3 linked regions of the Bombyx mori genome follow. The protein of the gene in region 1 purifies or fractionates together with the protein of each later gene. This does not show direct contact. Links are inferred from orthologs where the notes say so. Each region holds a gene or a part of one and is shown in the gene's direction. Other genes may lie near its edges.

Region 1 (4,280 bases):
TTGTACGTTGTTTTCTTAGACCCCATTCGCCGGGCCCCAGACCGACATATGAGGGGGACCCGAAACACTTAGAGGGCCAGGGATTTGGCCAGATCCGCCTCCCTGGTCCCCGCTCGACGGCGGCGGGCTTGTGCGTCTCTCACGCGCCCCGCCGCCTCCTTCTGCCAGATGGTGCACTCGCAGAAGTCGAGCATCGCCTTCTAAGACTCGTCGTCGCCGAGCATCGATGCCACAACGCTCGGCAACGACAAGTCTTTTCCTATTTTTGCGACGAGGACACGTCGCCACCCCTTCCATGTGGGGCAGGCAACGAGCGTGTGCTCCGCCGTGTCCAAGTCGCAACCACAATGGTGGCAGTCTGCCGTCGGCCCGGCTCCGATCTAGTGCAGGAACTCACCGAAGCAACCATGCCCACTGAGCACCTGCGTGAGCCGGAAAGTGAGGCGTCCTCTGTCACGATCCACCCAATCCACAAGGACCGGACGAATCGCCTCGACGGCCCTACGACCAGCCGAAGGATCAGCCAGCCGTCTGGACCATGACTCCAGCACGGACCGCCGAGATTGGGCCCTTCGCGCTCTGACCACATTGGGGCTGGGACGCGCCACGCCCCGGTTACGAAGGTCAGCCCACCACTGATAGTCAGCGGCGAGCGCCTCCGCTTCCAGAACCCAAGGTGGCGTCCCAGCCAGTACACACGCCGCCTCAAAGGAGATGATGCGATAACCACGGATGAGTGGTATGGAGTGTAGAACTAATCCTCTTTACATTTAGGAGCTTATAAGATGTGTTAAGGATGTCAGCAACTTGAATTAATAAAAAAATTAGCTTTATTGGAAATGGACAACCTAGAATATTGTGGGAAGTTAAAATAATAAACGAAAGCATCAGATAGATTTTTTTTCTTAACAATTTAATATCTGCTAGGGAGCTTAAGTGGCGGAAAATCTAACACAATTGTTGTGTGGATGTTGTATTGTGTTAGATTCTTCTAAATAGTAGTTCTATAAATTCTCAATAAATATCTACTATTTCACGGACAGTTTATTTCATTTTTTACGGTTTGTGTTGGAGTTTGTATATTAAATGTAATGGCAGGCAACACTTGACACTTGATTAGATTTCGAATATTAGAATGATTTTAAATGTTTAAAAAACAGATCATTGTATTCTCCTAAGAAAATGTCATGACTTCTCATCTAGACACGGCAAGACAAACATGTAATAGTTTTGTAAAAAATATAAAGATAATAATTGTATAATGGTGTAAAAGTGTTCAAGCAATCTGCAATATAATTATAATGAAGCAGTTGTGTTTTTAAATAGCCCCTCATCACCTACAGAACCCAATCCCCTCAAATATAACCGTCCAACAGTTTGTCTCATGTCATTTAATTTTATTTTATTTTATTCAACTTCGTTTTGGTCTATTTCACTTTTAAACAGTAGATATGGCTTCAACCTTTTTTACCAAGTGGTGAATGAGCTTCATTCCCATTGCCTGTCTAACGGTCGAATCAAATAAAAAAATATCTATGGCGGTCACAAAACTCAAAAAGCCTAGAGTCGAAAGTTGGAATGGTTTTGTTTGGTTCCATGTAATTTTACGGCTCCGTGCAGAATTTTCAAACCTTTATAGTGATATCATAAGCAAAATGTCTCTCTATTGTGCGAGTAAGTTTTAGTTTAAATTCAGTAAATTGTAAATTAAAGGAGCGAAACGTATAAAGTATGTTTATTTTGAACGGATGCGTACCTGCCGGGCTACTAAAGTTTTTCATCAATTTTAGACAAAAGTTTTGATATTTGTATTTTAGAAGTCATTATTCCATTTCATAGGGTTTATTTCGCTATTTTTATGAATATTACAGTTTTATGAAAATTAACAGTTTATGTGAATAACCTAATTTATTAATTTAGTATCAAATGAAGTTCCCGAAGTACCAGTGGTATCACCTACGTCAGGAGCTGTGTTTGAAAGGAGAATCATTGAGAAGTACATAATAGAAAATGGCGTGGATCCTATTAACGGCAAGGAGTTGAGAGTTGAGGACCTTATTGAGATCAAAAGTGAGGAACCTTTCAATCATAAATGGCTTAAATTCCTCTAAGAGGTTAAGAAGTAATTATTAAATTATATAATAAATTAAACAATATCTTATCTACTTCAATACATAAGATATTAATTTTGACGAGTATGATAGACTCTGTAACATAGTGAGACCGCATAGTGAGACCGAAAACTCTTAAAGTACTTTAAATGTCTGATTAAGTAATGAATAATAAGTACAAGATTGTATTCATTTGTAGTCATCATAGCCCCAAGGCCACACTTTGTGTACTCATATTCAGCAAAGCAGCTAAATTGCAAGATCAAGTTATATACATCATGCAAGAAATAGTCACACAATTTTTTTTAAACAATATAATGTTATGAAGATTAGTGTAATAATGCTATCTTATAATTCATATGAGACAGCAAAACTTCAGCTTAACAAAGCCTAAAACTTGTCTCAATGAAAACTCAAGAGATAGTAATGAATAATTCATTTCTCAAATAGCACCACCTATAGTAAAGCCAAAACCTCCAAGTGCCACATCAATCCCTGCCACACTGAAAAGCATGCAAGATGAGTGGGACGCCCTGATGTTACATGCCTTCACACAGAGACAGCAGTTGCAGACTGCTAGACAAGTTAGTAATGAATATTTTTTAAATGACAAAGCTCATGTGTGTGTTTCAAAGCTGTAGAACAATAAATTATGTTTACCAGTTAAACTATTATGCTTATTGCCTACATATTAATATATTATGTATATGACAGATTGGCTGGTTCCATGGGGTTTTTAAAATGATGATGTCAGCGTTTCTGACACCATTTTCTTCATTGTTATCATTGCCTTCCATAGTGACACTAATTAAGATTCATTTTTCCAATGAATTCCATTTATTTAATTTCAAGTGTACAAGGATAAGAGCAGAGAATTCTGCCTCGTTCAACAGCTTGAGCTGGAATGTTTTGTGCGACAATAATCACTCCTATTTATACTAGAATAGTGCGAGTAGCTTAGTTATGAATTCTCTTGAATACCGTCTTAAACAGTTGTTGATATGTGTAACATTAAGAATATAGTCAACTTCAACTATTTTTAGTTAACTAAACAGTGACGTTGCGCCGACATATATGTTATAATGAATAGAGTACAAAAGCAGGAATTTAATCGAACTGTGATCTTGTCTGTCCAATCAATATAGTAAAAAATACATCCCTATTCATGTGCAATTGCGAATCCTTTATATGTTTGGACATATCATTCGTAATGAAAGCTCATTGGAATGTTTAGTGGTTCAAGGAAAAGTAGACGGCAACGCTCTCGCGGCCGATCATCCACAAGGTGAACAGACTTGATTCATCTACGAAGTGTTTCCTTACTAAATGTACACGTACCACCACAAATAGAGAGAGATGGAGAAGTCTCTCAAAAGCCGCAACCAAACATTAAGACATACGTAACCACGACCACTGTGCCAGAAGTGTACGACTGAGAAGAATTCATTTTTACTTTATTGGTTTAGCTCCTATTATATGTCCGTCATGACTATTGATTGTAGGAGTGGGTGATATAAATCGTATATAGATTCAATATCTATATATCGCAGCAATATCGTTGAATCCGATATCGCCCCGCACGAAATCTATATATCGATATCAGCCGATACACGATATTGCTCGATGTGATGCGCATCGCCATATCGCGATATCGGACCGATTCGTGAATCGAAATCTATATTTCGATATCAGCCGATACACGATATTGCTCGATGTGATGCGCATCGGCATATCGTACCGATTCGTTAATATCAGCAATATTCGTTTGGTTCGTATCGAATCGGCCAGAGTGAGTGAGCGCGCGATAGGGATATCATGTAATGAATGAAACAGAAATAGGCATTATCCATACAATTGTAAACCTTATATTTAAGTCCATATGTCTGTAGATTATTCTTAGCGTATCAGCAGGATACAATTAAGGAAAGAAGTTTCAACTTTCGACCCTAACTTGAATGCAGTATAGCCTATTTGCATCGTTGAATTTAATTTCACGCGCTTTGACCTTGAACTAGAATTTTTGGACAAGTGTTTATAAATACTTAAAAGTTTTTTGTGTTTGATTTTTAAAGTACACATTTTTCTATTTTTAGTTGAATCCAAATAATTGAGTTTATTTCTTGTGTTTGTATTAAACTTTTGAAATCTACACTCTTTTGGTATATTTTG
Region 2 (4,154 bases), on another chromosome or scaffold:
TTAAAAAAAACTTTCAGGTGAGGCTTTTTTTCCTACCTAAGCTGATAGTCTTGAGAGGCTATTTCAGCATAACCCTAACAAGTAGGTGAGCTCACGGGGCTCAAACATAATGACGTTGCTAACACTAACCCTGGCAAGAGCAGTGCGCAAGCAGCGGATTCGACGGAGAACGATGACCGGCAGGTGAGCCCTAAGTTTATTTGCCACTCAATAAATCTTAATCATAATTTGGTATTTTTCAATGTTCATCTTAGAGAGTCTTAAATGAATTATAGTGCCACCTATTTAAATTATAATAATAATGGTAATGGCTGGGTAATGTCTAAATATCTTGTTTTAATCCATATTTTTATGATTCTCATTTTATCATCTGCAGAACTCATTAACAAAGCCAAACAAAGCCTTTGGCCTTAATAGAAAGTAAGTAAGGTCAGTGGATATTATTCTTAGGGACATTAGTTAAAATAGTGGTGTATCTTATCTAAGATATGCCGATGATACAACAATCCTTGCAGCCAGCGAGTCCGAGATGGCTGCGATCTTGGAGCGAATAGAGAGAGTTAGCCTTGAATTTGGCCTGCACATAAACCGCTCTAAGACCAAAGCGATGACGGTGGACAGAGCTCAAGTTTTAAGTCCATCAAATGCGCTCAAGGATTATGAGAAAGTGGAGGAATTTATATACTTGGGGTCGCTGATCTCTAACAGTGGTAACTGCGAGAAAGAAATCGGACGCCGTATCGGGATGGCTAAAAGTGCCATGACTAGCCTCAATAAAATCTGGAAAGACCGTAATATTCGCCGAGTAACTAAGATGCGTTTGGTTCGTACGTTGGTCTTCTCTATCTTCCTGTATGGGGTGGAGACTTGGTGTCTCAGGAAAAAGGAACGCAAAAAGATCGAGGCCTTTGAAATGTATTGCTGGAGAAAGCTGCTACGCATTCCTTGGACAGCTATGAGAACCAATGTCTCCATCCTCGAAGAGCTGAAGGTCACCAAGCGCCTGCTGACTATGTGCCAGGAATGGATCCGGAGTTTTTTTGGGCACATAATGCGATCCTCATTGCACAGCCTGGAGAAACTCATAATTCTCGGACAAATAGAGGGAAAGCGCGCTAGAGGAAGAGCGCCAGCTAGATGGGTGGACCAACTCAAGGAGGTGACTGGAGGCCAGATACAGGGAGCGGCACATATGGCGCCTTTACACTCTCAGACAATATCACTTGTACTTGTAATGTTACTTGTAATTGAATATGTTAGATAGTGAATTAAAGAATATTTAATATTTATTATATTCTCGGCTAGATTCCCTTCGCCTATCCACTAAACAAATTCAAAAAAATCTATAAAATGGCGGGAATTAATTGAGACTTCTGTCTGGCCAAACTCCAAAGGGACATTTTGGTTAAAACTGTTAAAAGTTACTGAAACAAAATAAATCATCATCTTTTGGAAGATAAAATATGTGAACCTATAGTCGGATTTTTTATTAGACGAAGTCAACTGACGTTTACTGTGTTGTCAGTTTTTGATGAAATAAAAATAGTGTTGTGACAAAGTGAACGATTGAAAAAACTCCTGAATTAATGAAATTGCCTCGATTGTCTAGTGAACAGTTGGTGTGCCGAATTGCCGATATCGGGTACGGGGTTCGAATTTTAGGCGTGCTTTGTACATACCAACGAGTTTTCGACGAAATATTATGTTCCTATAATATCTACCTGTACTGAATACCGAGTGTTTTAAACATTAAGAAAAACATTGCGAGGAAGTACTTGTAAGACTGTCCTATTTCCAATACATCATATAGTTGAAATTATAGATGTATAAAATATAACAATTATAGGTAAGTAATGAAAATAAAAAAGCTGATTGTAGTTACATACTACTAGCAACATATATTGGAGCACTTTAATACAATTTTATTGTAAAATATAAATAGTACTCTTTTATAGTTTGAAATTAATGATTAACTCTTCACACTCATTGTTCATTCGTGATTGAACGAGAACTGAACGCATCACTATTACTTTAAATATAGCAACATTATTTCACAAAGTGACATTAGCTACTGTCAGCTAGCTTCGTCTAATTAAAAATCCGACTATAGTGGCTTACTCGCTTGAAAAAAGTTTACAGGAATAAGAATCAAAACTAAAAAAATTAAACCATACTACCTTTTCTATTAAGATCGGTTCGGAATTGTTTAGTGCATTGTACTACTGCTGTTACTAGAATAGTCTTCAACTAACAATTTTGACCTCTACTTTAAAACAATGTGGAATGGTTTGTTGTTTTATCATTTACATGGTTATCTTTATAGTTTTTTCTGTATTAATTAGAATTTGTTACATTCAGATGATCCTTCTGGAGGTGGCTTCCTTAACACCACAAATCAATTTGGAAATACGGCAACACCCAAAAAAACTGTAAGTTTACAAAAAAATAAAATTCAATTGATTACGAAAATTTAATATATTAATAATACATTTATTCACAGGGTCGTAGAGCGGCACGGACAGCACCTATAGTCATCAGGCAAGCTTTGCATTCTGGAGAAGAAGGTGTGAAAATATGGGGTACAGAAATTCAAATAGTGTCAATAGTTGCAAGAATCAGGAGCATTAGAATGCAAAGCACTAAAATAACATATACAATCCAAGATATAACAGGGAGGATGAGGGCTGTACTCTGGCTCGACCAAGAGGCTATGGAAGTTGAAGTAAGTGAAAGTTACTTCCAGTTTCAGAGTAATGTCAATGTAAACGAAATCATTAATTAAAATGAGTTAATCCATTAATCATGTCCACAATCATGGTAATAAAAAAAATAAAAAAATCTCAAAGTCAGATTAAGTTATTAAACTTATTCTGTGCTTTTTGAATATTTAAGTATATGCCATTTTGATTCTTTAGATATTGAGTATTTTACATAAAAAAAAACAGATATTAAATCTTTCTGAGCTTCAATTTCAGGATACCTCATCACCTAAAGTTCAAGTAAATGATTACATACAAATTTACGGCAATGTGAAAACGAATAAAGGGACAAAAGTGCTCATGGCATTTAAGATAATGCCAGTTACTGATGTCAACATTATTACATTTCACTACTTTCAGTGCATTCATAATAAAATACAAATGGAAGCTGGCTCAAAGAAGGTAATTCTAATATACCTGGTAATCTTAAAATTTATTATTCGCATTTCCATTCACCATAGCTAAAGGCAGAAGTAACTACTTATAACACAATATTTTGAGGGGTTAAAGACTATTTGGTTTAAGCAACATTTAGCTTAATACACATGAATTTTGTATTTGAAATATTTAGTTCTTGTATGTAACAAAAAGAGTTGATAATAATTGTCAGATATTTTTATTACAGTACAGTACATAAAAATATGTCATAGTATAGTATTATTTGTTATTGATTCTTCAGCAATGTAAATGATGTCTTCTTCATCAGCAATGACTTACCATTTCAATTTTCATATAAAATGAATTTCAGCACATCCAACATGCTTCTCCTTTTTTTCAGTTTTATTTTAAAATAATAATCTACTATTTTCAAACTTGAACCCTTTATTCTGATAAAGACAGAACTACAAATTTAGTTATCATTCAGCTCTTGCTAGTGCATTTGAGTTGCATCATTGCTGTGGATTATTATGTCCCATCATGAATGGTGCTTCCGCCTACATGTTTTTTGCTATACATTACTTCATAAATTGGATTTTATTTTGCAGGAAAAAAATATTCAAGATGTCCCAATTAACAACATGCTGCCTGCAAATTCAATGGTTGGAATTACTGAAACCTCTTCAGTGAATGGCTTAAATTCTCGTCAGATGATGGTCTTCAACCTTATCCGTGGCTCTACTGTTGAACAAGGAATTAGTAAACAAGATATGTATGCCTCACTGAAAGATCGAATGACAAAAGTTGAATTTGAGTATGTATTTTTTAATCAACATACTAAATTTTAATTCAAACATTTTTACCCCAATAAATTATAACTGATAACTGATAGTAAATGATAACTTAAAAATAGAGTTGAAAGGAAAAAAATAAAGCAGTTAGATTTTAAATAAATCATCACAATCAGCCCCTTTTCTTAGGAGTTTAGTGACAAACACACATACAAAAAGATTAAAT
Region 3 (4,153 bases), on another chromosome or scaffold:
AATAACTCATCATTAAAAAAACAGAAACATATTCGATTAGTTATAAAACCGTGTTTTAGAAACACGCTATTTCCTCCCGATACCCTCTCCGTGCTTTATAGCATTTCGAGCACCGGTCGACGTTCTTGTGGAAGAGTTCGAACGTACAACCCACAGACACTACCTAAGTTTCTTGGAAGATCTTCAGTTCTGCAGGCCGCGATTTCGATCCTGTGATCTTGTGATTTAGCAAAGCACCACTCTTTTTAGACTTGGTGTTAGAAATTCCATCAGGTCGAGAGTATGAGGAATGGGTCTGGGTCTATTTAGCTTTACTAAGATGTGCTCCGTGAGGCGGTACAGTCATTGGATGCACGGCTGTTAAGCACGGAATCTAATGACTGTACCTTTGCCTTTCGATGTGACGAAGTTCCAGAAGCGTTTCAAGCGAATCAAACGTTTATACAATTTGTCTATTGCTGGAAAGATGCTAATTGGATAGTAACTCGTGGGTTCGTTTAAAGTTTTTCTAGTTTTCGGGTATGCCGATAACCTCTGATCCATACCGTGAGACAGATTCAGCTCGCCATAGCGGCATTTAAAATGGAGAACACAATTATTAGTTGAATAGGTAAAAATTTTAATGTTGTGCAAGCTTTCGGATCTAGGAGCTGTCCGTGATTGCAAGTTTTTTAAGCTATTTATTATGGCATTACTGGTATTTTAAAGGGCTCACTAACCGAGAAAACCTTTATTTACACTTTATCTTTATCTCAATTACATTTTCCACCATTTTACTCAGAAGTTTATTGTAGCCTTTCTTGCCATATTCTTTCGAGTTTCATTTTTTCCTCAAAAGGCACATACATTTTTGCAGAAAGAGTTTAGTACTTTGCAAGAAATTCATCGTATCCCTTCACCTGTATAATTGGATAAAAAAAGAAATGGTGAAATAGTTGTGTAGGTACTATCTAGTATCTATTTTAGTGGTATCTTTTTTACTGGTGGTAGGACACTCTTGTGAGTCCGCACAGGTAGGTACCACCGCCCCGCCTATGTCTGCCGTGAAGCAGTAATGCGTTTCGGTTTGAAGGGTGGGGCAGCCGTTGTGACAATACTGAGACCTTAGAACTATATCTCAAGGTGTGTGGCGCATTTACGTTGTAGATGTCTATGGGCTCCAGTAACCACTTAATACCAGGTGGGCTGTGAGCACGTCCACACATGTAAGCAATAAAAAAAAAAACTATGCATAGCTCATAAATTTAAAAATTATCTTCCAAATAAGAAGATATGACCTAAAGGTCTCTTGTCACCAGGTCACAAAATTAAAAAAAAAATATCTATGGCATAATATTAAAACCATAGATTATACACTTAATATGATTAAAAACAACAAAAAAAAAACCTTTGAAACTAACCTTAAAAATAGGGACTTTTATGGACATTGAGAAGTTTGAATTAAAATATGAAAACTCAGGACAGTTAAAAATATCACCAATACGTAATAAGCCCAAAAATTACCTTTTCGCTTAAAACAAAAAATGGATGTTGCCGAGCTATTGACATTCAAAGTAATATTCTATATCATAACGGTGCAACAGTTTATTTAATTCAACAAAAAAACGAATAAACATAAATATTAACTTCGCAGCCTACGCCAACACCAAAACGGCCAAATGAAGATGAGAGCGATGAGGAGGATCAAGCCAAAAGTGCTAAAATTCGTCGTACCACCAAACTTAAACAGGAACCTGTACATTTGAGCAAGAATATGTTGAAGGAACCCTCGATTACTGATAAAGAACGAGAAGATATTCTTAAATTTGTTGCCACTGAAGTAACAGAGGTAATTATTGTATTATTTGTAAAATTAAGGAAGAATGAAACAAAAATTAATAGTTTTTAAACCATCCTGTATATTTTGCTGTCATCAAAGGTAGATTAGGCAATCCTGTTTTCAAATGGTCTTTGTCACTTATGGACATTAATGCTAATAGAAAAACCAAGCTAACCTCCGAAGTTGTCATTGTTCACACATAATTTAAAGAGGGACATGTAACAGATGAATTATAGAAATCCCAAATGAAAAGAGTTCATTTTATGTATTAATGCAATAAGTAGGAGTGAATACTCCTCGGGCCCTGAAAGATGCAACGGAATAAATAAGATCATACTCATGACAGACATACATAGAAAGGGCAAGATGAAAAGAAAATTAGTTTATTGAGTCAGAAGCTCTGAACAATTTTAATTCATAATCTGAAATACTTCTTAATGTTTATTCAATTAAGATAGTGATTATAAACTCATAAATGTATTGAATCTACAGGGAGAAGTACTAGATGAAACCACAGTGAAGAAACTAGTTCTCAATTTTGAAAAGAAAGCACTTAGAAATAGAGAGATGAGGATTAAATTTCCTGATCAGCCAGACAAGTTTATGGACAGTGAAATTGATTTACATGATGCATTACAGGTATAATATTGTGTTATGATATTCAGAAGAATCTGATACTAACTTCATTATCAGCCCTCAAGGCTTTGCGCAACCATCCTATTTCTGTTGCAATTTAGTTATGTGTTCTGTTCTGAAGTATTAAACAACTATTTCATAATATTATTGGAATTTTGGCTGCATTAGGCTCTTACATAATACTATTTTGGCTGCATCAGGTGGGCTATTCACTCATGTATGCCATTAAAAAATAAAAAAAATCATAAGAATTGTAATTATTACAGGATTTAAGTGCTGTCGCAACAGTACCAGACCAGTATCCTCTGCTTGTGGAATTAAAGTGTGTGAACTCATTATTAGAATTACTATCACATGATAATACTGATGTCTCCACCAAAGTTGTTCAACTGCTACAGGTATGTATATGCTTATAAATTTTGCAAAACAATATTGCTGGGCTCAGTATCCAGTGTAAGCATGACTAAGATAAAAAACTCATGTCTTCTTTCTTGCCTATTACCCTCTGCTGGATTGTAGGGCTCGGGCTTCTTTCTTTTGTATCAGTCTTGGGCAGTCTATGGGTTAAATAAACTCATGCAAATCATTTATTTGTGTTTCCAGATGTTGTGCGTCATTTTCAATGAAATTACATATTTATATGTGGCAATACTGATATAGAGTATATGACAGTTTCTGTCCGTAAAATGTAGGTTACAAGAAAGGGTTTAACCTTTTAAAAAATGGTCAAAAATAAAAACTGACCCAATTATTACTTCTATATCTTTTATCTCAAACAAACATCTATGTTATAATGCCAGGGGCAGAGCCAAACCACTGCCTACTGTACCAAAATAAATAATGATGACATTTCATGCAGTTATTGTCAATATTTAAAAAAAATATTTTGCCATAGTAATAAACTAGTAATAAAATTGTAATTCTGATAATATTTACAATTGATGTACCTCAGGAAATGACAGATGTTGACATACTCCATGAGAGTGAGGAAGGTGCGGAAGATTTAATAAATGCAATGGCTGAAGCTGAAGCACCTGCATTATTACTACACAACCTGACTCGATTGGATGAGCAGGTACCAGATGAACGAGACGCTGTCCATAATACACTGGGTATGTCAATATATCATATAAGAATTTCATTTTAACCATTTAACTACAAACTAATAAATATGATATGTTATGATAGAATGATAAATATATAATGGCAATAACTGAGATAATGAAATTTGTCTTATCGTTTAAGGTATTATTGAAAATATCACAGAATTCAGACCAGAGCTTTGTATTGAAGTAGCAAAACAAGGATTTTTACAGTGGATTCTAAAAAGACTGAAGGTAACCATACTAATTTTATTTAATTATAGCTAAAATTGAACCAAATCTAAGATGCTTTATCAAGCATGTCTGCCTTCAGTGCAGTCTTTTATCCTAGTGTGAAGAACTTCACAAAAATATTCCTAAATATATAACCAAGAAAGGAATGTACTCCAAATGAGAACCTTCTCTTCATCCAAAGCTCCTAGTCGGAGCCACAGTCAAATGTTCCGTGCAATAATTAGCATGCCGTACATAATGCATATAAATTAAATAATATTTTTTGTAAATAATGCTAACAGCATTTAGAGGAAAGTTTGTTCGTAAAAAAATATGTTTGAACTATCGAATTTGTAGACAACGCTCGCATATTGACCTTTAC

The links.
Region 2: the proteins of pre-mRNA-processing factor 19 (region 1) and Rpa2 purify together in Homo sapiens (affinity purification with western blotting; 4 studies listed by BioGRID, with this or other methods). This does not show direct contact. The link is inferred for Bombyx mori from reciprocal best matches to the Homo sapiens genes PRPF19 and RPA2.
Region 3: the proteins of pre-mRNA-processing factor 19 (region 1) and beta-catenin-like protein 1 purify together in Homo sapiens (affinity purification with mass spectrometry; 4 studies listed by BioGRID and IntAct, counting the BioPlex papers as one, with this or other methods). This does not show direct contact. The link is inferred for Bombyx mori from reciprocal best matches to the Homo sapiens genes PRPF19 and CTNNBL1.

What each region holds. Positions count from the first base shown.
Region 1 is NC_085116.1:17,076,785-17,081,064, forward strand, and holds the start of pre-mRNA-processing factor 19, read left to right. Parts: upstream 1-1,472; 5' UTR 1,473-1,481; coding exon 1,482-1,674; intron 1,675-1,920; coding exon 1,921-2,070; intron 2,071-2,561; coding exon 2,562-2,695; intron 2,696-4,280. UniProt on the Homo sapiens protein: Ubiquitin-protein ligase which is a core component of several complexes mainly involved pre-mRNA splicing and DNA repair. Required for pre-mRNA splicing as component of the spliceosome.
Region 2 is NC_085114.1:7,172,635-7,176,788, forward strand, and holds the start of Rpa2 (replication protein A2), read left to right. Parts: upstream 1-1,337; 5' UTR 1,338-1,473; intron 1,474-2,108; 5' UTR 2,109-2,276; coding exon 2,277-2,286; intron 2,287-2,358; coding exon 2,359-2,429; intron 2,430-2,500; coding exon 2,501-2,722; intron 2,723-2,975; coding exon 2,976-3,161; intron 3,162-3,745; coding exon 3,746-3,951; intron 3,952-4,154. UniProt on the Homo sapiens protein: As part of the heterotrimeric replication protein A complex (RPA/RP-A), binds and stabilizes single-stranded DNA intermediates that form during DNA replication or upon DNA stress.
Region 3 is NC_085121.1:10,822,995-10,827,147, forward strand, and holds the start of beta-catenin-like protein 1, read left to right. Parts: upstream 1-1,320; 5' UTR 1,321-1,523; coding exon 1,524-1,553; intron 1,554-1,633; coding exon 1,634-1,828; intron 1,829-2,311; coding exon 2,312-2,458; intron 2,459-2,721; coding exon 2,722-2,853; intron 2,854-3,407; coding exon 3,408-3,567; intron 3,568-3,700; coding exon 3,701-3,792; intron 3,793-4,153. UniProt on the Homo sapiens protein: Component of the PRP19-CDC5L complex that forms an integral part of the spliceosome and is required for activating pre-mRNA splicing.